4 linked regions of the Cricetulus griseus genome follow. The protein of the gene in region 3 interacts with the protein of the main gene of each other region in a pairwise test. Links are inferred from orthologs where the notes say so. Each region holds a gene or a part of one and is shown on either strand. Other genes may lie near its edges.

Evidence for each region.
Region 1: the proteins of Gpr25 (region 3) and Creb3l1 interact in binary tests that used the Homo sapiens proteins (3 or more experiments, as listed by UniProt). The two-hybrid records come from large-scale screens. The link is inferred for Cricetulus griseus from reciprocal best matches to the Homo sapiens genes GPR25 and CREB3L1.
Region 2: the proteins of Gpr25 (region 3) and Kash5 interact in binary tests that used the Homo sapiens proteins (3 or more experiments, as listed by UniProt). The two-hybrid records come from large-scale screens. The link is inferred for Cricetulus griseus from reciprocal best matches to the Homo sapiens genes GPR25 and KASH5.
Region 4: the proteins of Gpr25 (region 3) and Vapb interact in binary tests that used the Homo sapiens proteins (3 or more experiments, as listed by UniProt). The two-hybrid records come from large-scale screens. The link is inferred for Cricetulus griseus from reciprocal best matches to the Homo sapiens genes GPR25 and VAPB.

Annotation. Positions count from the first base shown.
Region 1 is NC_048599.1:84,747,746-84,755,205, reverse strand, and holds part of Creb3l1 (cyclic AMP-responsive element-binding protein 3-like protein 1), read right to left. Parts: intron 5,876-7,460; coding exon 5,688-5,875; intron 3,772-5,687; coding exon 3,693-3,771; intron 1,774-3,692; coding exon 1,616-1,773; intron 1,065-1,615; coding exon 915-1,064; intron 780-914; coding exon 721-779; intron 587-720; coding exon 518-586; intron 1-517.
Region 2 is NC_048599.1:154,084,070-154,091,529, reverse strand, and holds part of Kash5 (protein KASH5), read left to right. Parts: coding exon 1-21; intron 22-375; coding exon 376-440; intron 441-1,599; coding exon 1,600-1,666; intron 1,667-1,888; coding exon 1,889-2,050; intron 2,051-2,430; coding exon 2,431-2,548; intron 2,549-2,768; coding exon 2,769-2,819; intron 2,820-7,460. UniProt on the Homo sapiens protein: As a component of the LINC (LInker of Nucleoskeleton and Cytoskeleton) complex, involved in the connection between the nuclear lamina and the cytoskeleton.
Region 3 is NC_048598.1:53,013,411-53,020,158, reverse strand, and holds Gpr25 (probable G-protein coupled receptor 25), read right to left. Parts: upstream 3,982-6,748; coding exon 2,899-3,981; downstream 1-2,898. UniProt on the Homo sapiens protein: Orphan receptor.
Region 4 is NC_048599.1:5,228,102-5,235,287, forward strand, and holds part of Vapb (vesicle-associated membrane protein-associated protein B/C), read right to left. Parts: intron 4,881-7,186; coding exon 4,800-4,880; intron 3,228-4,799; coding exon 3,051-3,227; intron 823-3,050; coding exon 664-822; 3' UTR 1-663. UniProt on the Homo sapiens protein: Endoplasmic reticulum (ER)-anchored protein that mediates the formation of contact sites between the ER and endosomes via interaction with FFAT motif-containing proteins such as STARD3 or WDR44.

The sequences.
Region 1 (7,460 bases), on a different chromosome or scaffold from region 3:
TCAAAACAAAATAAAATCTACATAGATTGCTGCTCCCTCCCTCCTGCAGTAAACCCAGCTCTGGGCCCGAGAATAAGCATTTTTTGTTTTTGTTTGTTTCTTTGAGACAGGGTTTCTCTATGCAGTCCTGGCTGTCCTGGAACTCCCTATGTAGACCAGACTGGCCTTGAACTCACAGAGATCTGCCTGCCTCTGCCTCTCAAGTGCTGGGACTAAGGACATGAGCTGACATGCCCTGCGAGAGAGAAAAAGCATTTCTAACAGGCTGAGAGGCAGATGCTGTGGAGCACATCTGGAGAGCTTCTGCCCTGTATAGTCTTTCTTAAGATCTCACCAGCCTGCCAGATGTCTAGAGTTATGTGCAGTGAAGGACAGCTGGGAAGCCGGCGACTGGCAGGACAGTCCTGGGGAACATTTTGGAGTATCATTCCGACCTGGTTCTCTCTCTTCTCTCCTGCCTCCCAGAGTCAGCCACCATCTTTAGTGGGATAGGTGGGACACAGGGGGTACCACTCACCTGTTGGCATTCTCTAGGGTTTCCACCTTCTTCCACAGCTCATTGTTCTCTGATGTATATGTCTCCACCCTGGAAGGCCAAGCAGGCAGAGGCTGAAGGCCTCCCCACAGACTCACTGGCCCTGCCCTCCGCCTACTGCCACCCACTGCCTGCAGCTGGGCCTCTGACTAAGGACAGCACTCTGCCCATTCTGGAACACTCACTTCTTTTCTAGGCATTCCACATACTCCTTCTTCTTGCGACGGCTCTCCTGGGCTGAGATCTAAAGAAGGAAGTTCCAAAGCAAGGGTTACCATTGCCATGCATCCACTTCCTAGGTGGTCCCCAATTTTAGAACTGATGTCACCAGGCAACAGAGGTCCCTAGAGTCTTAGGGTAGGGATGGCTTTAGTCTTACCTTGTTCTTAATTTTCCTGCGTACCCTCTTCAAGGCCTTCTCCTCAGCCTTGGTGAGGGGGAGTTTGGTGGGGATGGGGTAACCCTCAGCGATCAAGGTTCGCTTCTCCTCTTCTGTCAAGAGCAGTGGCCCCGATGTCCCCTGTAGTTTCTGAAGAAAACAGGCAATTTGGGGTTCGAATTTGAGCACTACTGTGTACTCAGCTCTCTGAACCTCGGTTCCCCCTTGGAAAAGGGGAGGCATCTGAGTTAAGCCCAGTAACATGCATCGAGTGTCAGGGGGGCTTTGGGAGGCCCCTTCCCCGCCCTATACTAGAATCCGTGCTCTCATTTCCCCAGGTCTTCGGAAACAGGTCCCTCCCCATAATCTCAATTTAGGATATGCCCTCAGGGTTTGGGTCTCTTTCCATGTTGCCCCCAAACAGTGCTCCTTGGGGATAGCCTGGGTCACTGCCAGAGTACAGAAATGTCAGGTTCTCAGCTCCATGACAGTATGGCTTCTAGGCCTTTCTGGAACCTTTGATTTCTAGTCATCCCAAGGCAGAAGTGAAAAATGCCCCCTTACTTGCCAGAAGGGCATCTCCCTGTATCTAACGGGATAAGTATCAGATGTGGGGTATCCTGACCCCTTCACTGGTCATGGCACTAGCTGAACGTACTCCTTATCTCACCTCCAGGGTCAGCCCACCCCTAGGTGCTTACATGAGGGGCAGTGAGGAGCGGAGATGTGGAAATGGCCGTGGAGGAGCGGGCCATGGGCCGGACAGGGCTGGAGGGGGGCAGAGAGCGAGGACTCTGGGAGCCATCACTGTCACTGCCATGGCTGCTGGGGGGTGTTGGAGGCATCTGTACGAGGTCCTCTGCAAAAAGTAGAGGGCTAGGTTAGTATAGTAGGGTTGTACCCTGTGTCTGTGTGACACTGAGTTCAGCTGAACATGAGCTGTGCCAGCCCTGTCACCAAAGGAATGTGCCTATAGGCACTTAACCTCGGCTGGAGTATCAGAAGGCCCTTGGCAGTCCCAGGAAGACATCTGGCACACAAAAAGATGACGGCTGAGTACTGCCTATCTCTGATAGCTCAGAGGAAGCCCCCTGCAACCTCGATGAGGGGCTCCTGGGCCATATGCTTCCCTGCCTGTGGCTCTGCAGGATTCAGGTTCTCTCTAAGCCAAGAGGGGACTAAGGTCCCCACGCAGATCCACCGGGCTCAGGTGGACCAGTCCTTACCCTTTCCTTTCTCTGACTCTAAAATACTGATCCAATCTCAGGAACAGGATGGCAGGTGTCGGGATTGCAGCAGAGTGGTGAGGAGTGATGCTCCTCCTCCACACCGTCCCCTTCATGGCTAGAGCAGCAGGACGACTGACACTGAGCAAGCATCAGAAAGAGGTGTCTCAGGCTCAGCAGCTAGCAGAGATGCTGGGAAAGTTCTGGGGGTGGCACATAACTCCCAGGTAGCTCTAGGTGTGGAAACCTGGGCTCCATGGCCATGGAGTGGAGGGTTTGGCGCAGGTTGGCACCCACATCAGGCCTCTCTCCTTCCTCTGATGCTTGTGTGTCTCTTATGGATCCCACTCCAAAAAGAATGAAGGGCTTGGAATCCACAGACCTGAGATCAAGTTCTGACTGTAATGACTCCAATACATGTGGTCTTGGTGAGCTCCCCAGCCTCACTTCCCTCATCTACTGAATAAGGTTGAAAAAAGTCAGCTCCAAGCCGCAAGGGTGCAGTGAGCTGGTAAGTGGGGGAACTGCTTTAGGAACTCCACAGTACGAGGTGACTTAACACAAGTTCTTTCTCACGCCTTGTCTGTGTTCTGGCTGCTCTTCAACATGTAAGCACCAACAGTATCTTATTCATATGTCCAGTTTTACAATACTTAGCCCAGGGCTTGACACATGTATATAGATGTTGAATCAGTATTCACAAATTAATGTGGTGAGATTGGAATGATTCTGCTACCCTTTCTCATTCCAGTAATTCACAGAAGCTGACCATGCTCCCTCGGCCCAATGAGCTGTACAGGCTCCCTGTGGATTTGCTATCTGCACACCCATATCACTGCTGAGTCTGTGACCCTAGGAACCATGTGATCTACTCGGGTACAGAGACTGTCTTCTTTCTTTGCTTTGGCAATGCCTGGAACAATTAAGATGGTACCCAATAAACGTTGGTTGGACGGATAGATAAACGGGTGGGTGTTTAGGTAGATGGTTACATGGGTAGATGGATGAATTTATGGATATTTGGTGGATGGTTTGATGGATATATGGGCATATAAATGGTTGGTTAGTTAGACGAATGGATGAATGTGGAGATGGGTGAATGAGTAGATGAATGTATAGATGTGTGGGTGGTAGAGTGAGAGATGGATTCATAGATCGATGGATAAGTGGATAGACAGATGGGTGGATGGATGGACGGATATTTGGATGGATAAGTGGGTAGATGGGTGGATGGATAGTTAGATGAGTGGATGGTTGAGTAAGGGATGGATGTATGGATGGAAGGAAGGATGACTGACTATAAAGTGGCCTTCAGTTTGTGAGTGGATGTTAGAAGATCAGCAAATGGACTGGCGTTGGTAGAACGATGGCAGCTGAAGACTGGGTAGAGAAAGACTGGAGGAAAAAGAGGGAGCATAGATAGCTAAAGAATTCTCATTTACTGGGGAGGTGAGAACATCTGGGAGCGAAGTGGGAGTTCTGAGGGACAGGCGTGGTCTGGACAGAGGGAGTGCCTGTCTGGGATCAGAAAGAGTCTCCTGTACATACTTACCTGGTGTCACTTTGAGAAACTGGCTCACTTCTGGGGGTTCTGCTTTGATCACTGGCAGCTGAGTCATTTCTCCTGGGGCCTGAGGAAGAGACAGGTTCAGCTCCATCACCTGCCCAGGGGAACAATCCTCATCATGTCATTCACACTCCTCCCTCCCTCCGGAATATTTGGAACAACGGCTGGTCTCAAGAGTCCTGGGCTCAGCCCAGAAAGAACAGAGAGGCAAGTTCTTATGCTTAGACAAGCCATACTACACCCAAGAGCAGAGAAGGTGGCTACACACTGTAGGTGAGAACTGGATCTCAGGAGGTATGCATAGTTCCTGTGGCATCTGGGGCCATGCCAGCTTCCAGGTAGACAGAGGCTGCCCCTTCACCAACTATGAAAGCCATGTAGGCCTTGGTATGTGGTTACCATGAGCACAGGAGGTCATGTTAGTCTCACTCTAACTGTTGGATGAATGAGAAGAATAGTTCAGGAGGAATTAACTGGCTAAGGCTCAGAGAAAGTTGAAACATGACATGGATCCTGGGACACAAATTGAAGTCGAGTACATATAAGGAAGCTTGCAGCAGTGAGAGCCCTTGAGGGGTTTCAAGTAAGGCACAGGTGAAAACAGATGTACATTTTTTTTTTTTTTTTTGAGACAGGGTTTCTCTGTTTTTCTTCGTGGCTGTCCTGGAAGTTGCTCTGTAGACCAGGTTGGCCTTGATCTCACAGAGATCCGTCAGTCTCTGCCTCCTGAGTGCTGGGATTAAAGGCACAAGCACCACCACCACCCAGCTCAGATGTACATTCTTATTTATTTAAATTCCAAAGTATTGTTCTAGAAAGGGCTTCAGGAACATGTGTGGTTTTGTACATGTGAACATCACCAACATGCCCGTTAATGGTGATCTCAGTGAGGAGGCTGTGGCTCTTGGGATTGTCTCTCCCCACTGGGTCTGCTGGTAGCAGAGATCACTACACTGTGTGAGGGACAGAGTGATGAACTTAGAACAATGAGGAAGAATCAGGGATAGTGCTGGGTGTCCAGGAACTTGGCCATACCCTGGTCTACACCCAGCTCAGTGTCAGCACTACAGATGAGGGGACTGTGATGGAGAGTGGCAGAGGCACTTTAGTGGTTCATATGGCTCTCTACAGACTGGCCCCAGTGGCCTGCACTGGTTATAGTGGGAACCCTCCACTCTAGGGTCTGACAGACCAAACTTGGAAAGCGGCTTCGAAATTTCTGACTGTGATTTGTGGCTTAACTCCTGGGAGCCTCCGTTTCCTTTTCCACTGTGATCCCTTCCTCCCCCTGACTTTAGCTAAGCCAGTTCTGGAATCCCTAAGGATGTAGCTGGTTGTCAATCAGCTCCCTGGAACCTTGGGAGCAGGAAGGGTGACCTTTCTTGCTTAAGACTGCTTACTTTGAACCCAGGTGGTCAGCAGGAGGCAACCCCCCTGCCTAGGGATTAATGTTTGTTTGTTTGTTAAGCTATAGAATTTTAGGCCTTGTGGCTTGCACCTTTTACATGGAAGGAAGCTGAAGAAAAAAGAGAGAAGGCAATGTGAGGTTCCCTATACACTCTGGAAGTGGACGTAGGGTTTGTTATGAGTGCAGCTTATTAATCTAAATACAGACTAAAATATAACACTATTTTTTGCATTTACATGTTCATCTTTCTCCAAATCCTGAAACTTAACAGGAAAGGAAGTACCCCCGGGGTGGGGGGTATCTTGACTTCAAAACTAACCTCAGTCCTGCCTGGTGCCCTTCAAGCTTTCTCTGCATGCAGGGAGGGCCCAGCATGCTTGGTGGGCACTGCTGTTTGTGCCTACTGGAGGATGGTAAAGGGGTGGTCAGTGTGGGAGGCAGAGGACCTTAGTCCCCAAGGTTCTCAGTTCATGGAGCCCTGGAGTGGAGTCCAGGACATTGGGTGTCACTCCCCTCTGTCTCCCCTCAGCCTACTTCCCTCCCTCAGCCCCATTAGTGGTCCCTAGGCTCACCTGGTGAGGGATGGGCAGCCTGGAGATGGGGCTGACACCCAGCAGTGGTGGGGTGGCCATAGCGGCAGCAGCAGCAGCCATGGCAGATGAGGCAGCCAGAGGGTCAACAGGCAGCTCTGGGCTCTGCTCCTGCTTCACCATAATGGAGCACAGTTTGTGTCCCAGTGCCCACGCTCCACGTTCCACATCTGGGGGAAGGTGAAGTGGGAAGGACTCAGGTTAGGGGCTCCCAGAGCAGAGAGCTCTGACCAACTTCTGCCTGCTGGCGAGTACCCTTGACAGAGGAGTGATGTCAGAGTGCCCATCTGGGTATGGGCAGGAAAGCTGGGGCACTCTGGTGAAGTGAGATGGGTCCGCTGGAACCAGAAGTAGCAAGAGCATCTTTGTATCTAAATGCTCACCAAATAGGCTTGGCCACAGCATCTAGACCTCCCCTGACTCGCTGTGTGACCTTAGGCAAGTGGCTGACCCTTTCTGAGTCTCAGCTTCCTCATCTTTAAAATGAGCAAAGGGGGGCTGAGGAGACGGCTCAGTCTGGAAAAGGTCTTTCTGTGCAAGAATGAGGACCTTTGTTCAGATCCCCAGCACCCATATAAAAAGCTGGGCGCAACAGCGTATGCCTATCAGTCCAGTGATGGAGGGATGGGCACAAGAACACCTTCAGGGCTTGCTTGCCACCCAGTCTGGCCAATCAGTGGGCTACAGGTTCAGTGAGAGACCCTGTTTAAAAAATAATGGGTGAGTGACTGAGGAAGATACCTACCATCCATTTCTATGTGTGTGCGCGCGCACACACACCCACACACACAATACAAACACATATGGGGAAAAGAATGAGGACATGAAAAGGACAGACCCAATTGGGAGGTTTCAAGAATGACTAGTATAATGCTTTTAAACACTAAGTACAGTGCCTGGCTAGAAGTGAATGCTCATTAAGCAGTAACTAGTGTTAACATGATTATCAGTATTCAGTAAACACTGCCCTAGCGAACAGCGTGGCAACAGTTGGGCAAGTACGGTGGAATCAGAAAGGTTAGCAGCTGGCGTGGCCTTGGGAGCTGTCCTGGAGCTGTACCTCTATCCCAAAGTGATGAGGAGCCACAGAGGGGTTTGAACATGCTGGGACTCATGAGTTTAGATTTATTTTTATTATGTTAAAATTGTGTGTAAGATCAGATGTGTAGCCTGGTCTATAGAACGAGTTCCAGAGAAAGCAATACAGAGAAACCTGTCTCAAAAAACAAAACAAACAAACAAAAGAGCAGGTGTGTGCAGAAGAGGGCATTGGATCTCCTGAAGCCAGAGGTACAGGTGCTTTGTGAGCCACTGACATGGGTGCTGGGAAATCCAACTCAAGTCTCCTGCAGCACAGGCTCTTAACCACCCGGCCATCTGCAATACTTAAATTTTTTTTTAAAGATTTATTTATTTATTATGTATACAATGTTCTGCCTACACGCCAGAAGAGGGCACCAGATCTCATTATAGATGGTTGTGAACCATTGTGTGGTTGTTGGGAATTGAACTCAGGACCTCTGGAAGAGCAGCCAGTGCTCTTAACTGATAAGCCATCTCTCCAGCCCCAGATTTTTAAAAAATTATTTATTTATTATGTACACAGTATTCTGCTTACATGTATGTCTGCATGCCAGAATAGAGCACCAGATCTCATTATAGATGGCTGTGAGTCACCATGTGGTTGCTGGGAATTGAACTCAGGACCTTTGGAAGAGCAAGTGGTGCTCTTAACCTCTGAGCCATCTCTCCAGC
Region 2 (7,460 bases), on a different chromosome or scaffold from region 3:
TGCTGCCTGTCAGTTGCATGGGTGAGTCCCTGCACCAACAGCCTCCCACTGGCAAGTCTTTCAAGTTTGCTCTGCAGCCAATACCAATTAGGCCCAGGGAACCCATGTGGTTGGTTTGAGGCTAAGAAAAGACGTGAAAAGATATGGAGGGGTAAAGGGTCTGAGGACTAAATGCTGAGGTCCAAGAGATAGAACTACAAGGGGCTGACAGTAAGAAGGGTTGCCCTTCACAGCCCAGGCCCTGCATCTGGCCTTTCCCTCCACCCATAGAGCCACTCTCACTGACTGCCCGCCCCTTCGCCACCCAGACCCCTACAGGCACGGGTCATGGCTGTGGTGGCTGCAGGGGACCTGAGCCTCTTGCCTTTGATACAGGGGATTAGAGCGAGCAGAGGAGACTGCCTTCGGGGGAGCCCTGGCTTCTCCACACCTGCCATCTGGTGAGACTATTTATAGAAGGAGACGGGTGGCAGGGGTCAGCAGGGGGGTTAGCAGGGACCTCTCATCTACTAATTCCACACAGCAAGGACTAAAGAGACAACTGGGGCTTTTGCTCAGCCTGCAGTTGTGGTGGATTTCTGGGACAGTCCCCTCATCCTGGACTTTGGGGTCAGGTTTTCCATTCCTTCCTCCTAGCTCCAGCCTTTTTGTAGAGGCTGAGACTGCAGCTTCCTTGCTCTCCAGCTGAGGGGCCCTAGGGCACCTACAATATTGAAATCTTTGCATGGCTCAGGGCAGTCTTGGCCAACTAGGCTCCTCCTCTTGGCCCTGCCCACCCCTACCCCCACACACCTTACACCTGCTTGCCTTTCCATGACAGCTGTATCCCAGCCCTATGCTAGGGCACTGGGTGCCCAGGACCTCACACCTTACAGGTGTACCACTAAAAAGTGCCTTACAGAACCCAGACTGCAACCCTCTTGACATTCTCTTTTTGTTTGGTTGGTTTGGTTTCAGTTTGGGTTTTTGTGAGACAGGGTTTCTCTATGTAGCCCTGGCTGTCCTGAAACTCACTCTGTAGACCAGGCTGGCCTTGAACTCATAAAAATCACCCTGTCTCTGCTTCCTGGCTGCTGGGATTAAAGGTGTATTCCACCATGCCAAGCTCTTGGCATTCTCTTGAACCTTGAGGCTTTTTCAGTCTTGGGGGTCAGGGAGGAATATGAGCAGCAAAGGGGCAGGCCAGGTCAAGTAGGGAAAGACAAAGAGAGAAAGGAGGCTTAGGAGGAGGCTGGGGAGTGCCCAGGGAGAGAGAGTATGGTAGAGTGAGGGTGAACGTGGCTGGAAATAGAATCAGACTAACTGAAGTCCAGCAACTGGCAGATGATGAGGGCCTGAGAAGCCTGAAGACTTGAGGGAAGCTGGGAACGGGAGAAGAGGGCTTGGGGAAGTGAAGGTGCCCCTCTGAATACCTGGCTGAGCCCCAGGCAAGCATAAGCAAGAAGCCTATGTAATAAGAGTAATTCAGCCCAGGGAACCCCAAAGCTACATATGGAAAAACTGGGATGCCAGAATCCTGGGATAATTCGTGGGTCCTTTGACACCCAAACTTTTAAAGTCACCGGAGAGTCTAACCTCCTTTTGTCTGTGTCTTTCCAGCATGCCCAGAAGCAGAGGAGCCAGCCAACTTAGAGAGCTTTGGAGGAGAAGACCCCAGGCCTGAGGGGTGCTTGTCCTCCCACCCCCATCCCACTCCATCTTCTCCAGCCTATCTGGGGCCTGGGAGTGGGGAGACTGATGTCTTTTGGCTCTGGACAGCCTTGGAATTTGATTCTGATTTGTCTCCAGAGGAACCCTTGTCCTAGTTGCCAGCACCTGCTCCACCTAGGAGGAGACTAGGGGGATGAGAGCAGGAGCAAAGTTGGTGACCAGGCCCTTCTGCCCTCAGGCCTGCCACAGCTGAGCTGCTGAGCAGCCTAGAGGACCTAGAGCTCAGCAACCGCCGCCTTGCTGGTGAGAACGCCAAGCTGCAGCGCAGCGTGGAGACTGCAGAGGAGGGCTCAGCACGCCTAGGAGAGGAGATCTCAGCCCTGCGCAAGCAGCTGCGAAGGTGAGTAGCTATCTGCCTTGCTACCAAAGAGCCTGGGCCTCAGGTACAGGCAGCCACTCCACTACCCAACCCATGTCTTCCATTCATTCCCTTCTATCTGGGTCTTGTCGTCTAGCCAAAAGGGTCCAGTCTGACTGTCACTTGCAGCTCTTGTTCTCATTCTTTCCCCCCTTCCTTTCTTTGCTGTGTGACCCCATGACCTCTTCCTCAGATGAAAAGTGAACACTGTCTCCACCCCACACTGCATGCTCCCTGTCCCTTTCTCTCTGTTCCCTGTGCCCCTCGTTCCAGCTTGTGTCTGTCATAGTCTCCCCTCATAGTCTGGGATGTTTTGCTCTGCTTCTCTGCCTGCCTCCTCTCACATCTGTGCCACCCATCAGCACCCAGCAGGCCCTGCAGGTGGCCAAGGCTTTGGATGAGGAACTAGAGGACCTGAAGACTCTGGCCAAGAGCCTGGAAGAGCAGAATCGCAGCCTAATGGCCCAGGCCCGGCACACAGTGAGTGCTAGTAGGGTATATCTGGCTTTAGCAAAAGGGCAGAAGTGAAGGGGCAAAGGTTACCTACTTCCAGGTCTTGTTCACCCCCAGGCCCACCTGCTACCCCTCATGAGCCCTCAGCCCAACTCCTCAGTGATAAAGGCCCTGACTGTATTCCTTGTTTAGGGAGGGTGATAGGGTGGGAACTGGAACTGATTCTATCCTCTCTGGGATGGGTCAGGAGAAGGAGCAGCAGCACCTGGTGGCTGAGGTGGAGACGCTACAGGAAGAGGTAAGCTGAGGCTCACCCACCTTTAAGGGTTCCTGCACCTGTCCTGCAGACCAAGGGGGCCCAGGGTCCCACAGGCTGTGTGGTATTCCCTGGGTTCGTGTTGAGGCTCTGGCCAATTCTTCCCTTGTCTGCATTGTGGTGCCTTCACAATCAGGGGAGCAAGCCAGTGGCTTCACCACATGGGGTAGTGTGAGGTTTAAACCAGAAGATGCCTAGAAAAGTCCTAACTCAAGGTAGGATATGTAGGGTGTGCACAGTAAAATCCTGTAACCTGGCATAGTGTTCCATGCCTTTCATCCCAGTATTTCGCAGTCTGAAGCAGGAGGATTTTGAGTTCAAGGCCAGCCTGAGCTATATAACAAGACTGTAAAGAAAAAAAATGTCAGGTATCATTTATATCAGTGTGCTGGTTTGATTCCTGGCAAAGCAAATGAAACTGCAAAAACTTATACATTTATTAAGCATAGGTTTGGAAGTTACCTGCAGAAGCATGATGGACCACCTTCAGGCCTGTGACTCTTCCCTTCCCCTCTAAGCTTTAGTTTTTCATTTTGACAGTGCTGGAGATGGAGCTCTGGGCCTTGGGCATGCTGGGCAAGCAGCCGCCAGGCCTGGGAGCCACAGCAGGAGCCTGCACAGCTGGGTTGCAATAATTGTGAAGTGATGGTATTTACCTGAGGGCCAGCCCCTACAACCCAGACCTATTTAGGTCCCTGTTCACTCGGAGTTCATGCCCACATTGAAACCCATCAAGTGTTAAATGATATCAATGCCATCCCTCCTCCCTCGAGGTGGCAGATAAGTTGCAGATCCATGATGGGTTCATATCCCAGGCAGCATTGGTCCTCACTTGACCCCCATCCTCTACTTAGCTTTCCATGGGGAGGCCAGAATTACCTTCAAATCTGGGCTTAGCCCTTGCTCTACTTGCTGATGCCTGTCTCCTCTCTGGGCTGTGGCTTTAGCTCAGCCTCCCAGGGTCACCTGGGGGATCTGGCTGCTTTCCTGCGAAAGCACACAGCTGCACCTATGTGGTCTCCCTCTGCTGCCCTACAGCAGTTCTGGGTGAGTGGGAGGGATGCTCACTCAGAATCAGGTGTCCCCTGGTTCCCAGGTCTGTCTCTGCCCCCTTGTCAGCCAGGGCTTTTCAGCCCCAGCTCCAAGTTTTCTGCCTGTGTCTGCAGTGGGCTTTTTACTGAAATCCTAAGTCTCTCTTCACTGTTCTGTGCCTCCTCTGTGAACTGTTATCCCCCTTCCAGGGCAATGGGAGCCCCTGGGCAGGATGGCTACTACATTCAGTTGGGGTAAAATATCTTGTAGAGCCTGGCGTTGGTGGCGCACGCCTTTGATCCCAGCATTCAGGAGGCAGAGACAGGCGGATCTCTGTGAGTTTGAGGCCAGCCTGGTCTACAGAGTGAGTTCCAGGACAGCCTCCAAAACAATACAGAGAAACCCTGTCTCGAAAAATCAAAACAAACAAAAGAAAATACCTTGTAGAACATTTTTTTAAAGAATTTAATTTATGTCTGAGTGTTTTGCTTGTGTGTATGTCTGTATACCATGTGAGTGCCTTGAGTGCCTAGTGCCTTTGGAGACCAGAAGGAGGGTATGGGATACTCTGGAACTGGAGTTACAGGTGGTTGTGAGTGCTGGGAATTGAACCTGGGTCCTCTGGAAATACAGCCAGTACTCTTAGCCACTGAGCCATTACTCTAGCCCCCAGAGCATTTTTTTGTTTTGTTTTGTTTTAAGAATGAAGGAGAGCCGGGCGTTGGTGGCGCACGCCTTTAGTCCTAGCACTCAGGAGGCAGAGGCAGGGGGATCTCTGTGAGTTCGAGACCAGCCTGGTCTACAAGAGCTAGTTCCACGACAGCCTCCAAAGCCACAGAGAAACCCTGTCTCAAAAAAAAAAAAAAAAAAAAAAAAAGAAGAATGAAGGAGATCGGGGCTGGAGAGATGGCTCAGAGATTAAGAGCACCGACTACTCTTCCAGAGGACCTGAGTTCAATTCCCAGCAACCACATGGTAGCTCACAACCATCTGTTTGGAGATCTGGTGCCCTCTTCTGGTGTGCAGATATATATGGAAGCAGAATGTTGTATACATAATAAATAAATAAAATCTTAAAAAAAAAAAAAAGAATGATCTAATGTCAGCACTTAGGAGGCAAAGGCAGAGGCAGGCAGATGTCTGTGAGTTCAAGACTAGTCTGGTGTAAATAGTGAATTCCAGGGCCCTGTCACAGATCACAGGTGATGGTTGTCCTGTTCCCTGATGTCTGCAGCACCAGTGGGCTGCAACATGCCAGCTCCAAGGGAACAAGCCAGTTCTGCCCAAAGCAGTTTCTGGTCTCTGGGTTATCTGGTGGCTCAGTGGCTTTTTCTTAATTATTATTGTTTATTTATGAAAGTGCTGCTCTGTCTGCATGTATGCCTGCACACCAGAAGAGGGCACTTGATCTCATTAGTAGATGGTTGTGAGCCACCATGTGGTTACTGAGAATTGAACTCAGTACCTCTGGAAGAGGAAACAATGCTCTTAACCACTGAGCCATCTCTCTAACCCTGTTTGTTTTTTTTTAAGTGATGGTATGCTGAAAATGGAACCCAGGTTCTGGCATGTGTTAGGCAAGCAACACTGAGCGATATCCCCAGCCCTGGGTTTTTTGTAACAGGGTCAGATGGTGTAGTATGGACTGGATTTGAACTCCTAGTCCTTCTGCTTTAGCCAGGTAAGATCTGGGACTGTAGGCAAGTTCCTGCATACCCAGTCTCTTACCAGTTTTTTGTTTTGTTTTGTTTTTCCTGTTTGTGGTCTCATAGTCGCAGATGACTCAAGGCAGATGGGGAGGCACCAGCCCCCCCCCCCACACACACACACACTCCTGTCTCTCTATCCCTTAACCACAGCTGGAAGAGAGCCTGGGAGGATGTCTTACCTTCAGCCTGGAGCTAAGATAGTCAGCAAGGTGGGGTTGGGATAGCTGCTTCTTTAGCAGGCAGGTTTCCTTGTCACTGCCCCAGGGCATGCAATGCAAGACAGCAAGAGTCAGCCCTGTGAACCAGCCACCAGCACCCCTGCCTCCTGCCCCAGGCCCAATCTATGCCCTCAGAGGAACTTCCTGGGCATGCTAACTCCATAGCTAGAGCTATTCTCAGCTCCTTGCTGGCCTTCTGCAGCTACCCACTGAGATCTAGAGATTGAGATCTCAGGTTACAGCCGGGCCTGGTAAAGTAATGGGACACTCAGCCTCCAAAGGTCTGGCTGCTGGCTGAATCCCAAAAACCCACAGCCTGTGCTTCTGCAGAAGGCTGCAGGGTGCTTTTGGGTCCCACCAGGTGGACAGGTGTTGACACAGCACTCCCAGCTGTCCTTCCTCTGCCCTTCACCCAGCAGCAGCCCAGACTGCTGAGTGAGAGGCACTGATGACCTGGAGCAGGAACAAGGCTGGAGACCAGAAGAGGTAGCCTCTGTCTCCTAGGGCTCTGGAGAAGGATGAGGTGTGCCAGACTTCAGGTATCCGGAAACTTGGACTTTGAATTGTCATATTCTGGTTGGTTTGTTTTTTGAGACAGGGTTTCTCTGTGTAGTTTGGAACCTGTCCTGAACTCTCTCTGTAGACTAGAGTGGCCTTGAATTCACAGAGATCCATCTGCCTGCCTCTGCCTCTCCAGTGCTGGCACTTAAAAGTGTATGCTATCACCACCTGGCCTGTTTTTGATTTTTGAGACAAGGTCTTGGTATGTAGCCCAGGCTGGCCTGGTACTCAAAGCAGTCCTCCTACCTCAGCTTCCCTGGTGTTGAGATGATAGGTGTATTTCCTCACACCCAGATTTGGGCCATTTTATTCTTAGGTCCCACTGGGCAGCTGTTGTGGGTGACTATTCCTGACCTCATTGCCTCCCCTTGGAAGGCTCAGCCCAGGCACTACCTCTTCATCAAGCCCGGTGGCTGTCCCACCACCCAGCTTGGGCCTTCTCAGTGAGCCTTAGGCTAAGCACTCTCTGCTTCTCCCTTGTCTCTCCTGTGCATCTTGTGGCTAGAGCACCACTGCTTCTCAAATGTCTTTTGTCACCCCAGGGCTTCATCTGGCCCCCCAGAAAAGGTTGAGTATTAGAAGTGGCACTGGGCTAGGTGGTGGTGGCGCATGCCTTTAATCCCAGCACTGGGGAGGTAGAGGCAGGTGATCTCTGTGAATTCAAGGCCAGCCTGGTCTACAGAGTGAGTTCTAGAACAGGCTCTACAGTTACACAGAGGAAACCCTGAGGGGGGGGGGGGAAAGAGGCAGGGCTGGGCATCACACAGATGGGATGGCCTTGCCAAGTATTTTAGCATCTATTCAGTTTCCTTTGTAGAGCTGAGAGGAAGGATACTATTAATGGCTATACAGCCACAACACCGTTCTGTTACAGAGCCAATGTAATGTGGACAGTGCGAGCCCTGGGTCTCCCTGCCTGCCTGCTGGCAGGCAGGGAAAAGGGCACATGTGGCACATGTCAGCACGTGTGGGTGCATATCAGCACAGGAGTCCACATCTGGGGGCATCCAGCCTTGTGTAAAGTCTGCTGTGTGCCAGCCATAGTCTCCATGCTCATGCTATTTTGTTGCTAATTTTGAGTTATGGTTTTGCTAAAGGAAATA
Region 3 (6,748 bases):
CAATGGAGTGTGGTGTGGACGTGTAAGCTGAAATAAGGCCTTTCCTCCCCCAACTTGTTTTTGGTCACAGTGTTTTATGACAGCAATAACACCCTAACTAAGAGACATGTAATGTTTTCCTTCAAGGAGACCAGTGCTGACTGTTTTGCATCCTTACAATAAAAATGTGAGGTTATTTAACTTCTGAAATTTTTACCTTCTTTATCTTGGAAACTTACTACAAACATTTTCTGATTTCTCATTGAATGCTACCTTAAAATTTGCATTTTAGTCTATCATAGTGATAAACGCATAGCATTTTAGAGTTTTTTTTTTCCTTCTTGGTTTAAATCTTTAAAAGCTCCCTTACTCAGCCACCCAACTTTCATTACTTAGGATTGGTGCGTAAGGAGGGAGTAGACGTGAAGATTGTAAGGTTAAGGAGTGTGGACATTTGAGGGGTTGGAATATGCATTTTTTTTTTTTTTTTTTTTTTTTTTTGCTTTTCAAGACAGGGTTTCTCTGTGTAACAGTCCTGGCTGTCCTGGTGCTTACTCTGTAGACCAGGCTGGCCTCAAACTCACAGAGATTCACCTTCCTCTACTTCCCTCATGCTGGGAATGGAGGTGCACCACCACCACCGGGCCGGGACATGTACATCTGTAGATTTCTTGATGAAGATGTCTCAGCTGCTTTCTTTTTTTGACTTGCATGTCTGTGTGAGGGCGTCAGATCCCCTGGAACTGGAGTTACAGACAGCTGTGAGCTGTCATGTGGGTGCTGGGAATTGAACCTTGTTCCTCTGGAAGAGCAGTCGGTGCTCTTAACCACTAAGCCATCTCTTCAGCCTCCCTCCCCCAACTGCTTTATAAAAGAATCTAGTTTGCTCTCCCTCCACAACCTATTATTAGTTCCTGCATCCATACCTGGTCTCCCTCACCAGGAAGTGGGGGCTCATCCTCCACGGAGCCCAATTGAGTGCAGCACCAGAAGAGAGGGAACTCCTCTCTCTGTGCATAGTTCTATGCTGTGGTAGACGCCAATTTTCGGTAAGCACTGCAGGAGGGGAGATGAAAACTTCCCATGGGCTTGAAGAGTCTTCTGTCTGTCTGTCTGTCTTCAGGGAGCTCGGCTGAGACAGAAGAGAGGAACTTGTAGGGGAGCTCTGTCCCATTAGCCTAGAGCAATACCTGCTCTGTAAGCTTCTGTCTAGACACACACTAGGGTCAGTGCCCCTGTTCTGGAAGCCCTGGGTCCTTCACCTCAGAAAGCAATAGGAGGACAGGAAGGACTATGAAATAAACAAGCCCTCAGAGTTGAATATACCTGAAGTACACCCTGCTGCTGGCCCAGGTAACCCGTAGGCTGCAAGCCTTGTCACTCAAGGGGGACATGCAGTGATGTTGTTTTTGACAAGAGCAGTTGCAAGGTGGGGTCAAGGTGGGCTGTGGGGCTAAACGTACTCCAAACCAATAGTCTCAAATGCTAGAGGGAACACAGTGGTGCTAGATGAAGAGAGAGGAAGTTAAACATCCTGAGAGATGCCCGTCTCCAGATCTAACCTAGCAAGGAAGCATCAGTCTCTGCGGCTACTACACAATCCACAGTCTGTGCAGACGTGGTTCTCAGGAACAGCCTGATCACAGAATCACCTTCCCTCACCGATCAAGACGTTTCTTGGCCAACTCCTCTAAAAACATTTCCTTTCTAAGCCTTCCAGAAGCCTCAAAGGATAAACCAGAGTCTGAAATGGTTAATTCCAAACATTTGTACTGGAAGGGCTCCCAGAAAATGGGGGAAAGCCTGGACCACATTTAAAAATCAAAATTACACATCTCTTCTTTGAAATGACACCTGGCAGGCAGATGCTGTACACCCTCAGTTTTTTTCCTCTTTCATCTTGCAACCTTCAATATGTGAGATGTCTTTAAAAGAATAAGCAGTTCTCTGCCCTCCTGGGAGTACCACACTGACACAGGTGCAGCTGGTCCTCTCAACCCATCCCCACATCACACAAACCATCACCCTGAGGTACCTCAACTTCTGAATTGAATTTTGTCTGACTGTGAGACGCACTTTCTGACACCCATTTCACTCTTGCTGTTCAAGTCAAGAAACAGTTGCCAACTACGGCTAACAAATGGTTTCTTCTTATTATTATTATTATTGAGATGTGAGCTCACAGAAGAACCTGGGGTCCCTGGCTCAGCGATGGGGAATCTGAGCACCCACTAAAAATTTCAGATTCCAGCAATCAGAAGGAAGGCCAGAAGGCTTCTTCAGAGGAGAGAAGGATCACCACAGCAGGGTAGGTACTCTGAGGGAACAGGTGGGAAGAACCAAATTGGGTAGCTCACACTGGGGTTGGTTCCCGGGTGAGCCTTTGAAAATGAAAAACCAAATTGGGGATGAGAAAGGATTCAGGCAATACAGCTTCGAAGATGACCAGAGCGAAGAGAGCTGTCACTCCTCTCATTCTACCGAACATTTTTGAGGTGGCATTGCTAGAGGACTGGCACGGAGAAAAAAATTTCTCAGAGGGCAAAGGCTTTTGCAGGAGCAAGAATAGTCAGGGACAAGAAGGGCCTTTTAGAGTCTGGGTTGGAAGTTTGGGTTGAGCTACTAAATGAAGCAGAGAGGAAAACCCGCTTCCCTCACATCTAGAGCAGAACCAGCTCTTCTCCAGGTGGGTGTTTACAGCCTTTCTTGCCCTGGGGAAAATTAAGGAAACACGCCCACCCTTCCCACACCAATTGGCCTGCCTTCGAGAACAGCCAGTCTTAGCAGCCAGCTCTGAGAAAGCTGATGGACAGTCCCCGGGGCGCATCTGGGAGCACCGTCCCCCTCGTCTCTCTGGAGCTCCGTCCCCTCTCGTCTCTCTCTGGAACTCCGCGGCCCGGCCGCTTCATCTGCACCAGGCTACCAGGCAGAAGCAGAGTTCACCTTTGGGGACCGACCCCAGAACACCGAGCTGTCATCCCTGGAGAGCGAGGACGCTGAGCTGATCCTGCGCACCTGGCGCCCGGCGCGCGTGCACACCCCGAACCTGGCCCGGGCGCGGAACGAGCGGTCCAGCAGGAGGTAGATGACCGGGTTCGCACAGCTGTTGACAAAAGCCAGGCAGGTGGCGATAGCCAGACCCCAGCGCAGCGCCAGCAGCAGCTCGCAGGGCAGCGGCAGCGCCCGGAGGCGCGCCAGGTGGAAGATGGCGCGCAGGACGCCGAAGGGCAGCCAGGAGCCCACGAAGACGCTCTCCACGGCGAAGATGATGCGCAGCGAATTGCTCCGGGCCCTCCCCACGCGCGGCAGGCGGCGCGACACGCGGCAGTAGCAGGCCAGGGTGACAGCCAGCGGCAGCGCCAAGGTCAGCAGCAGCAGCAGGAGGCCGAGGCCCTGGAGCGCATCCGACGGCTCTTCGGCGCACTGGCTACCCACGCCGTCGGGGCTGGGCTGCAGCCCGCGGTACAGCAAGGCGGGCAGAGCGGCCAGGAACGCCGCAGTCCAGGCGCCGCAGCACGCGGCTCGCACACAGCACGGGTTCCGCAGTGGCCGCGCGCTAAGCGGCCGGCCCACAGCCAGGTAGCGGTCCATGCTCATGCCAGCCAGCAGCAGCGCACCCGCGCAGCGTGTGGCCGCCAGCGCGAAGCTACTGAGTTTGCACAGGCCGTCGCCGAAGGGCCAGAGGCCGCCCCTGGCCTCCGCCGCGGCCCACAGTGGCAGTGTGAGCACAAAGCCCAGGTCGGCGGTAGCAAGATGCAACACGAAGGTGTCCACCAGCCGCCGGGGCCCGCGCTGCCCGCTCAGCAGCCACACCACGAAGGCGTTGCCTGGCAGACCCACGGCGAAGGCCGCCAGGTAGAGCGCAGGGATGATGGCGTGGCCATAGGGCAGGTCCCAGGCCGGGCAAAGCTCTATTGGATCCAGGGAGCCAGAGCCCGAATAGTAGTAATAGTCCCAGGACGTCGTGCCCCAGCTGTGGCTCCAGGCCTCGGTGAACTGCATGGCTAGGGTCACTGGACCTGCGTGCACCCTGGAGCAGTGCAGTTCTCTCTGAGCAGAAGGGAGTTTGCTTTTCACGGCCAGTGCCCAGCACCTCCCTTCCTGCCACCCCAGGCCGAGGTGAAGGGGTGAGCAGGAAGGTGGAGGGGGAGAAGAGTGTGGGCCGGGAGGGGCAGACCTCTGTGGTGGAAATGGTGGCTTCCAAGTTGGGGCTGGACTGGTAACTGTGAGGAGATGTCCTTAGGGCTGGGAGACCTGTGGCCACTCAGTGTTGATGGCTCATCACTTCTGGGTGCTTGGCCTATTATCTGGGCCAGGGGGGGTTTAATATGGGGTTCAAGGGGCAATGAGTGCCCTAGAACTCTAACCTGTTCTCGGTTCTCACCAGGAGTTGCTTTTGTTTCCTAGTGTTTAGAGGGGAGGAGACAGACCAGGCACAAAGGGCTTCTAAAGGAGGACAATGCCTCATCTTCTGTCTCTAATTTGTTCTGCTGGGTAGCATACAGAGGAGGCCTAGAGGTTGAGGCAGCCTCTAATGATTCCTGATTAAGAATTGCCTCCTCCCCTCTCCCCTGCAAACTCTTAGACCAAAAGGTCTAGGTGTGTCACCTGGAGCGGCACTTCTGCTCTGGTTCAGAGCAGTGCAGAAGGGTTAACGCTAGAGAGGGAAGTCCTAGTTGGAGTCCCCTGCTGGAAAGGGCCCAGGTTCCTGGGTTAACCCTCTTCCGTCCCTATCCTTCAAAACCTTGCTGGTAAGTCAAACAGGGGCCTAACCTCTTACAAAAGATGACCCAAAATGGCCCCTAACAAAACAACAGATTTGCTATTCTAAATCGTGAGGTAGGAACTCAGAGACCCCTTGTGAACATAGGGGAAGGAGAAGGTTCGTGGATAAAGGTGTGCAAGATGTCAACTTGCATGGGATAGCAAGAGGAGGGGCAAGGGTGGCTGAGGGAAGACGTGCTTTCTATTCAAGGAGCTACACACAAATTCTTAACACAGATCCATCCCTTGACAGGCTGTGTTGGAACTAATGTTAACAATGCCTTCCCAGAGTCACTTCTGCTGTCACCAAGAATGAGTGACTGATGCATTGAGCAACCCTGGAAATTGGGGGGGGGGGGACTGGATTGTCAGTTTTGTTCCTTTCCATTCCATTAACAGTGACTTCTTCATGTGGCAGGCATTGTTCTTTGCATTTCAAGAAATGCACTCTTGACCTCAGACAGAATACTGAGGTGGGGAGAGACAGGTCGTGTGTGCAGTGGCCAACATGCCATCAGTCAAAACGTGGTCCATGCTTAAAACAAAGTCCTCCTAGTGCTTAGAAGCAAGGGCCATACTGCTGATAGGAAAGTGTTGCTGAGGGGCAGTGCTTCAGGTCAGGTCTAGGAGGAGGATAAGGGCCAAGAAGAATGGCAGAATAGAGAGGATGAGCCAACCTAGGAGGAGATAGAAAAGCAAGTACACTGAGACAGTAGGAAGACACTGCAGGCTGTGGGAGCCTAGGGGAGGAGTGTAGGAGTGTGAGCGAGCAGACAACAGATGAAACTGGCAGTTGTCCCTGTGCCTGCCCCTGAAGAGCTTCGGGTGTACATCTGATATGTAACAACCCTGGCAGGACTCCACCGCCAGCTGTTGTGTTTGTGACTGAAATAGACAATTATTATTTTATTTTGCAGGTGGCAAGGTCTCCCCCTCATCAGGCAAGTGCTCTGCCACTGAGCCACGTCCCAGCTCCTGACATAGTCATTGGTAGAAGGGACAGAAGGGAGAGGAAGTGTCAGGATCAGTACAGGTCCCCCCACAGCAAGGATTTGAGGTAGGCCTGGGCTTTCTCTTTCTGAGGAAGAGTGTGGAAGATGTCTCTGTGGTTAAAGGACCAGAGCACAGAAGGGCAGCTGTGTGTATGGCCCGCTTGGCTTTGACTGGAAGTAGGATGATGAGGTAATTTATGATCCAAACCAAGACAACTGAGAGTAAAAGAAGCAAGGCAGCAAACAGTACTGTTGTGGGCAAACTGGGCTATGGGATACCCCTGGGTTGAGTCTCTGTTGATAAATGGAGCACTTCCCTACCCGGGTAGGGAAGTGGGATGGAGCTAGATGAGTTCGCATTTCTGTCCAAATCCAGTTCTCATAGAGTAAGGGTTTTTAAGCTAGAGAGGGAGGGTGTAGCCAGGTTGCCTTTATGTAAGGGGAAAGGGCCTGCTTCTACCCTGCAAAATCTACCCCTTAGGTCAAACGTGCAGAGCTTGGGGTACATATCTAGTCTGTTCCTGCCAAGAATTTTTTCCCTGGGCTGAGGAGATGACTCAGTAGGTAAAGGCGCTTGCTACCAAGTCCGAGGAGCCTGAGTTCAATCCCCTAACCCACATAGCAGAAGGAAGGAACCTACTTCTGCAAGTCGTCTGATCACACGTGTGTGCCATAAACACAAATGCCCACACACATACACGCATGCACTAAAGAATCGTAACAGCTTTTAAAGTTACAAGCCGGGAAAAGGTAGTCAGACCAGGGAGTGAACCTGGCTGATCTCATTGTGGGCTCCCACATGATGCTGGTGTGCTGTGTCTACCTTCTGGTCGGCCCCGGTGCTACACACAGCCTCCTTCCCTGGAAGACCAGTGGGGCAGAGCCTAGCCAGAGGCCAGGCCCAGTCCTGAAGAACTTTTACCACTTGGCACATCTCAGTCCAGGGCTCCAAGAGCATGAGTGATCATGAAAGCTAGAGACAAACAGTGAAGCCACCGCAGGGAGAAGGCAGA
Region 4 (7,186 bases), on a different chromosome or scaffold from region 3:
TCAGTGTCACTACATGAACCAACAGTAATTTAGCTTGGTCCCTTTAAGAGAACAGAGCACAGACTTGATTTCTAAGTGTTGGGTCGGTCGGTCCACTCATGTCTCTCACTCATGACCTACAGGGACACAAGAAGTGGCCACCATGCAATGTGTTTTGGCTTCTGTAGCTCTGCATGCCTGAGGAGCCGATGGCTTGGACAGAACAGCAGGCCTGGGGAAGCTGCCTGGGAGAGACTAGGCAGCATGAGAAGGCTGTGGAGGGGACAGCACACCCTCCCTTGCAGGGCTCCTGCTCCCACAGGCCAGCCCCAACATGTGAGGGAGAGCTTCTTGCTTTAAGAGGGGTGATCTAGGAACATGTGCCAAGGCCTACCCGAGTTTAATGTGACAGCTGCAATATGCCACTGTGGTTAATCACGATGTCCCTCAGTAACAGACCATTCTCCCCCATCCATTTACTATACATTTTTAACATTCTAAAAGATCATTATATTATGCTATATTGGTGTGTGCATTTGTGTGTGCATGGGGAGGGGTATTTAAAGGCAAGACCTGTGAGATGTCATCATACATTAATTTCTTTTTACGCATGGTTATGATAAATTTAAATCCCATGATGTGGTGGATCCATCAATCCAATCTGCCATCCTTCGCATGCAGCCTCTACAAAGCAATCTTCCCTATAATGACACCAACGATAAAGAACAAAACCACCAGAGCCAGCAGCCGGGCGCTGAGGCCTTCCTCCTTCCCGGTGGCAGCCAGAGCTGCCATGGGGCTGTTGCTCTGCAGCGCCTTCCTCACCCGGAGCCCGTCTTCTTCCTAGGGGGAATAAGTGCACATTTCAAAAGCACATCATGGCTTGGCAGACGTGATCCAGCCACAATGCAAAGGCACATGGAAGCCTAGAGAGAAGCCACTGCCAGGACCCTCCTGGACTCAGTGTTCCTTCTACCAGAGCTGCTGGCTCTCTGCTACCACCAACTTGAAATGCACTCTCAGCTTCCCATGAACAATGGGAAAAGCTCTTGAGGGGGGAGGAGAAGAGGCTCTTTGGCCATGTCTTGACCTCTTCTCTGCCTACCTCCAGATCTGACGTCTGGCCTGTCCTGAGCCTACAAGTATGTCCAGTCAACTCATCTCTGCCTGAAATCCCAGGTATTCCCAAGACACAAACCACAACCAACTATTCAGTGGAGGACCTGCATGAGCCTGGCAAGAGATCCAGGTGCACTACCGAATCAAATAACCCTTGGAATTGGAAACACATACTGTGTGCAACTGCTGCCACAGCTGGTAAAGAGAAAACCTTCGTTTGCCCACTATATATACCTTACGACGAGTTCATGGCTTCTCATTTCCAAAGAGAGCTGCCAGGCCACCCCCACCAAACCCCTAAGACAGGTCCGAGGTATCTGTCTTCCACCGTCCCTGCCTGAAGGACCTGCAGGATCCTCCAGTGCCCTTCCCGAGCGCCACAGCTCCGCAGGGCCAGGCCAGGCCGCTCCATGCTGAGGCCTCCCACACAGCTGACACTCCACCCTTCCCCTCCACTTCCTTATCTGCCAAGTGCCAAGTGCAGTCTTCCCATGATCTGCAGCTCTCTGTGGGCCCACTAAGGACATGGGCTGTAACCATCATTGTCTCGTCTCTCCCTCAGCCCCACTAACAGGAAGCTCCCCAGGGTAGCCTGCTCATAGCTGAGCCCGAGACGCCTGGCACACGGCAGATCTCACTGAACAAGAAGCCAATGTCTGGCAGGATAAAGCATGCCCCCCTGTCAAGATGGCTCTGATATTATTTTAGAGATATTCTGCTCATGGGCAAGGCCAGCACCGCAGCACGGTGATGAACGAGCTGCAGTGTTCAATTAACTTTAAAAAAATGGGCACAGCAAAATACAGCATTTATTTTATTGGGTTTACATAGAAGCTATCCCGACCTATAGATCATTGTAAATGGTGCAGAGCTCTATTTCTGAGGAGAGACGCACTCAAAGAGAAGCTTTTGCAAACGAAGACGCTGAGGCCACTTCCAAACTGTCACCCTCCTACATCTACCTTAGAGCTGGGGTGCAGGGGAGTTGGCTTAAGCGAGTGTGCTGTGTACATCTGCTGCCACAGCAGGCAAAGAGGGGAAACCTATTACATGCTTGGCTGGCATCATCAAGATTAAGAACAAATAGGCCTCAAAATTTAAGCTGCAACAAAAGCTCCTATAATCAGATGCCCGGGTATATATCCACATCCAAGACAGACAGATCCACAGTTCTCAAGCTAGAAGGCAACCGGAGAGACACTCAACAAACAGGCCTAAGAAATGGGCCTAGAGTGGACAAGACTGTATGCAAACTGTATAGCCGGCAACATAGGTTGTTAGGCTGAGGGTGTCTGACCTCCCCAGCACAGCCTGGCCAGATGCATGCCTTGGTTCCCCCTTCTCACCTCCACCTCTCTACTGGGCCAACACCGTGCTTTCTTGTTACCAAGCAGCCTGAGGAGCTTCTACTGCCCGGACCCACATCAGAGGTTTCAAAACTCATTTCCCTGTGTTAAAATAGTATGGGCATGGGGGCTGGAGAGATGGCTCAGAGGTTAAGATTACTGACTGTTATTCCCGAGGTCCTGAGTTCAATTCCCAGCAACCACATGGTGGCTCACAACCATCCCTTATGAGATCTGGTGTCCTCTTCTGGTGTGCAGATATACATGGAAGCAGAATGTTGTATACATAATAAATAAATAAAATCTTAAAAAAATATATAGTATGATTTGGCCCCCAACCAAGACCACCCAAGGGATTGGCCAAAGCGGGGTCTGACAGTGAATATTCAAAGAGCTGGCTCAACTTAGACAAATGGAGTGGGGATGGGTCTGGCTCTGAGGAAAACAACAGTTGGGCAGGTACAATCCAAACACCCTTTCAGGAGCCCCAAAAGAAAGCTCTGCAGGTGAGTCTCCTGGGGAAGTAAATGCAAAACAGCACACCAAACCCACACTGCCCACAGAAGCTGCTCAGCAAGGGCGAGCGGGCGGGCGAGCAGGCGTTACCTTGAGCTGCCGGCCTTCCTCCCGCAGCCTCTGCACCTCCCCCTGCAACCGCTTGCACTCTTCCATCACTTTCTTCACTTCGGCGTCATCGAGGGACGACGTCAGGGACTTGGCAGCTGCCGGTGCTTCTGTCTTGGGTGCACTTGTAGGTGTGATTTTATTTATTTCTACATCGTGCTGCTCAGAAACAAAGGAAAGCCCAGGGTCACCAACTATGTGAGCAAGGATTTTATGCAAAGTATTTCTCAGTACACAGTACATGAGGTAGCATTCCATCCACACTGTAAAATGTCACATTTATTTTTTAAATGCATCACTTTATCTAGTATCTTGATAATCTAAAGCTACCAGGCCCTAGAAACTATGGATAAGGGCAAATAATGAAGCTGGGCTGAGGCGAATACTTCAAGGAGGAGAAAAGGGCTGTGCACACTGCACTATCAAATTCCTGCCATGCAAAAATTAACATACTGCAATTGTGCAAGCTCAGGAATTATCAGCTGCAAATTACCTTTGCAGGAGAGCTGAGCATCCCAGGCCGCTGGGGGTGGGAGGTAGGAGGCCTAGAGAGGACTACACATGGACCACCTTACAAGCAGGGATGAGGACGAACAAGCTTTGAAGGCCAAATGTGTTCCCCTGCATAAAAGGAGTCATGGTACCCTCTTGGAGGATGAGCCAGTCAGTGGAAGCAGGGCTAGGAGCACTCAGAATGGTGGCCTGAGGCTCTGGGTGGCAATCTGAAAATCAGACACCTAGTTCCAGCCCCCTTCACCTCCCACAGAAGGGAGAGCCTTGGAGGCCAGAGTCCAGGCTGGAGCCCAATTATCAGGGGGCTGGGGGTCATGATCCATGTTCCCTGCTTCTAACTTTCCTACAACAGGGTGATGTTCTCTCTGATTCAAATAACCAGAGATGGCTGTAGCTGATGATAGAGCAGAAGAAACCAGGCAGTTCTGACAGCAACCAACAGCATTCTTGGGCTCCTCACAGTCATGTGTAAAGACACTGTAGCGTGCCTTGCCTTCCCAGCTCCGTCCATCACTGGCAGAGACCTAAAGATCACCCACGGTTCTTACTTCTTGACACAATTTTACCTTTTCCGGCTACTTTGAAGGGAAGTGTACATCAGTATTTGAAAAACCATCTCCTGTCTTCTGCTGGTCCCCAGTGAGGGCCCAGATTGGGGCAGTAGATGTGTAACAACCTCCATGAAAATCTGGGGGTACTGCTAGTGTCTAGGGAGCAGGGTCTGGGACAGTGGGTGCTCGGTGCTCAATATCCCACACGGCACAGGATGTAAACACATGCCAACAACAGTGAGGCCAAGAGACTCTCATCTCAAGGAGGACCGGCACTGAGGGAGTTGGTGGGGAGCAGATGCTGAGGGGAATACTGACAGGATGCTCTGAGAGTTTACCACCTGTCTGAGCGCCCTGAAAAAGGGCCAATCACCCCATTCTGGTCTCCCCACTTCACCAAGCAAAGACTCCCTGGGATTCTGACTGCAGCTGCTAACAGGTTACTCTGCTCAAGGGGAAACTATTTCAGTTGGCCATTTTCTGCAAGTCTTTGCCAAGGTTGATGTTATAATACCAGCTTATCTGTTGACTTCAGCTGATTTTTTTCCTTCATACATTAGAGGGAGGAAAATAATTTGCCAGTTTAAATCTTTGTTTCACAGGAGATGGCATGCAAATGAGTGTCTGCCTGCAACGTTCGATTACTGTTAACTGGAGACATACTTACTGGTTTAGCGTTTTCTGCTGGTAATTCAAACACACATCTAAGTTTTGAATCCATAAGGTCTTCCGGCTTTGCCTCCTTCCACTAAAACAATTTAAATTTAATAATCAGGGTATTATCAAGCTGCTGGAAGAATAATTCTCCTCCTATAACTGACAATTTCAGAAAAATACTCTTAATGAGAAAGCCCTGATGTATATCAAATAAAGAACTTAAGTCTGCTGAGACTTCAATATTTTTAACATGACAAGATTAAATGCACTCGCTCTCCTGAATATTTATCACACTTTGCAAACCCTGCAGTCTTGCTGCCTGGCTCCTTAGGGCCGCCTGCCCAAGCTTGCCTGTTTCTACTTCATGGGCAGCACAGGTCCAGGAAGCATTCTCTCCTTAAGGAACTGGAATCTAAAGGACAGGGTACCCACTCCCTAAAGAGCTGGAGGAGGAGGATTTGGCTGACCAGTCAACCACCAGTGGGGCCCATTCACCACAGAGCCATTCCACTACTGCATCAGAATGGCCCTGCCCACGCCACCCCCACCCACCAGTGAGGGCTAGGTTCCTCACTAATATCCCCTTCTAGACACGGGGAAGGGGTTGAGAATGACAGGTCAGCAAAGCAGCAAGGTGACAACTGAGAAAAGGGAGGCACCCACCCTCACCCTTCCGACCCTGCATAGCAGCTAGGGCAATCGATTTCTCTGGCACCACAGCACTGCCACCCTAACCATGGCAGAAGCAGTCAACAGGATGGCACACTAACACTCACGGGACACCTGAGAGCACTGAGCTACACAGGAACACGCCAATGCCACACTGTGCATGTGTGCCCATGTGTGAGTCAGAGGGGGTCATGCAAGGACCAGTTCCAGGTTCTTAGTGGCTGGTGACAACAGTCTCTGAGAACTGCCTACAAGCCACAGGGCAGACAGACTTCCGCAGCACCTGCACCAGCTCATCAAACTGCACCAAGAACAAGACTAGCTAGCAAGCAGTAACATCACCTGAGTATGGGTGACTCTTGTACCCCCGTATCTGAATCTGAATTTAATGATGACGATCCAAGAGGTAAGATTCATGCTCCAAGCCACATGACCTGGACCCTAAAGCCATCAAACCCAAGGTGCGGAAGAAACTCCTCTGCTGAAATACCCAACGGGCACTCTGGAGTGCTCAGAGCACTGCATGGGATTGCCCTCTTTAGGGTATTGACAACCCCAGCTCACTGTCAACTGCACACAGTTAGTTCTATGTCAGTGAAGAATGCCTGTGCTCTGCCGGGCTCAGGGTAGCCAGTCAGTGACCTTCCTCCTACAGGCAGCTAGCACAGGAAAGTCTCTGACAGCTTAGTAGCAAATGCCCACACAAGACATCGAGGCCAAGGTAACAAGGCACTGCTCTCAGCTTCCTGCACACTGTCAGCTCAAGGGCAACACAGGCTCTCCCAGTAGTTGGACCTGGTGTGGGAGAACTGGCAGTCACCTCCATCCAAATCAGCTTTTACTCAGGTGGTCATGGACAGTGCCCTACAAAATGTGCTGTGCAAACACTTAAAACAGTTACAAAAACAACCTGCTGAGAAACAGAAGGCCCCTTTATCAAGCTGCAGCATCTGGCCCCTAATTACTCAGGTGAAGAGTCAGACATGGGCACACTCTCCTCAAAACTCTATGGACTGCATTCTTATTCCCAATTCGCAGGTTGCTAAAACCTCAAGAACAATCAACACAACCTGCCCAAGGCAGACCAAAGCCTTAGTAAAGGTTTGCTTCAGATCAGGACAGCCACGTCCTTGCCCTCTCAGCTACACCACCGCGGAAGCCAGACCAAAGGCACAGCCTGTAGACGTCTACCTTCAGTGCCTGTCATGTGTTCCCTTCATCACACAGACTAACACAACACAAGTCGGGAAATGAAAGGGCAAAGAAATGTCTCCAGGGTTAGTCTTATGACAAGGTCTTGCTCCAGCTCAATACGTGACTTAACCTTCTCTTTCTGCCCCCAAGGTGCAGGCACCAATGAAGGAAGCTGGTTCTGCTCTCCGAAGCCCAAAACAAAGGCTACATGGTGACAAGGGCAGGAGACAAGCTTGGCACAGAACATCCCTGATACCTTTGCCATCTACGGGCTGGCCACATTCTGAGGACCACTGCCCGCTGGGCAGAGCTGCAACTGGCAGCACTACCTTTGGGGAGAATTGCCACTCTTCTTCCAGAAGAAAAAAATATTGTTTACTTATAAAAACAGGGGCATCTTAATTTTACCAAAATTCGAGACACTGTCAAACATGTACTCATATAGGGGAAGGGGGAATGGAAATGAAGGCAATTAGAGAGCATGGCGTGAAGCGGACTGTGGGTGTGAAGAGGGCTGTAGGGTGTGAAGCAGAC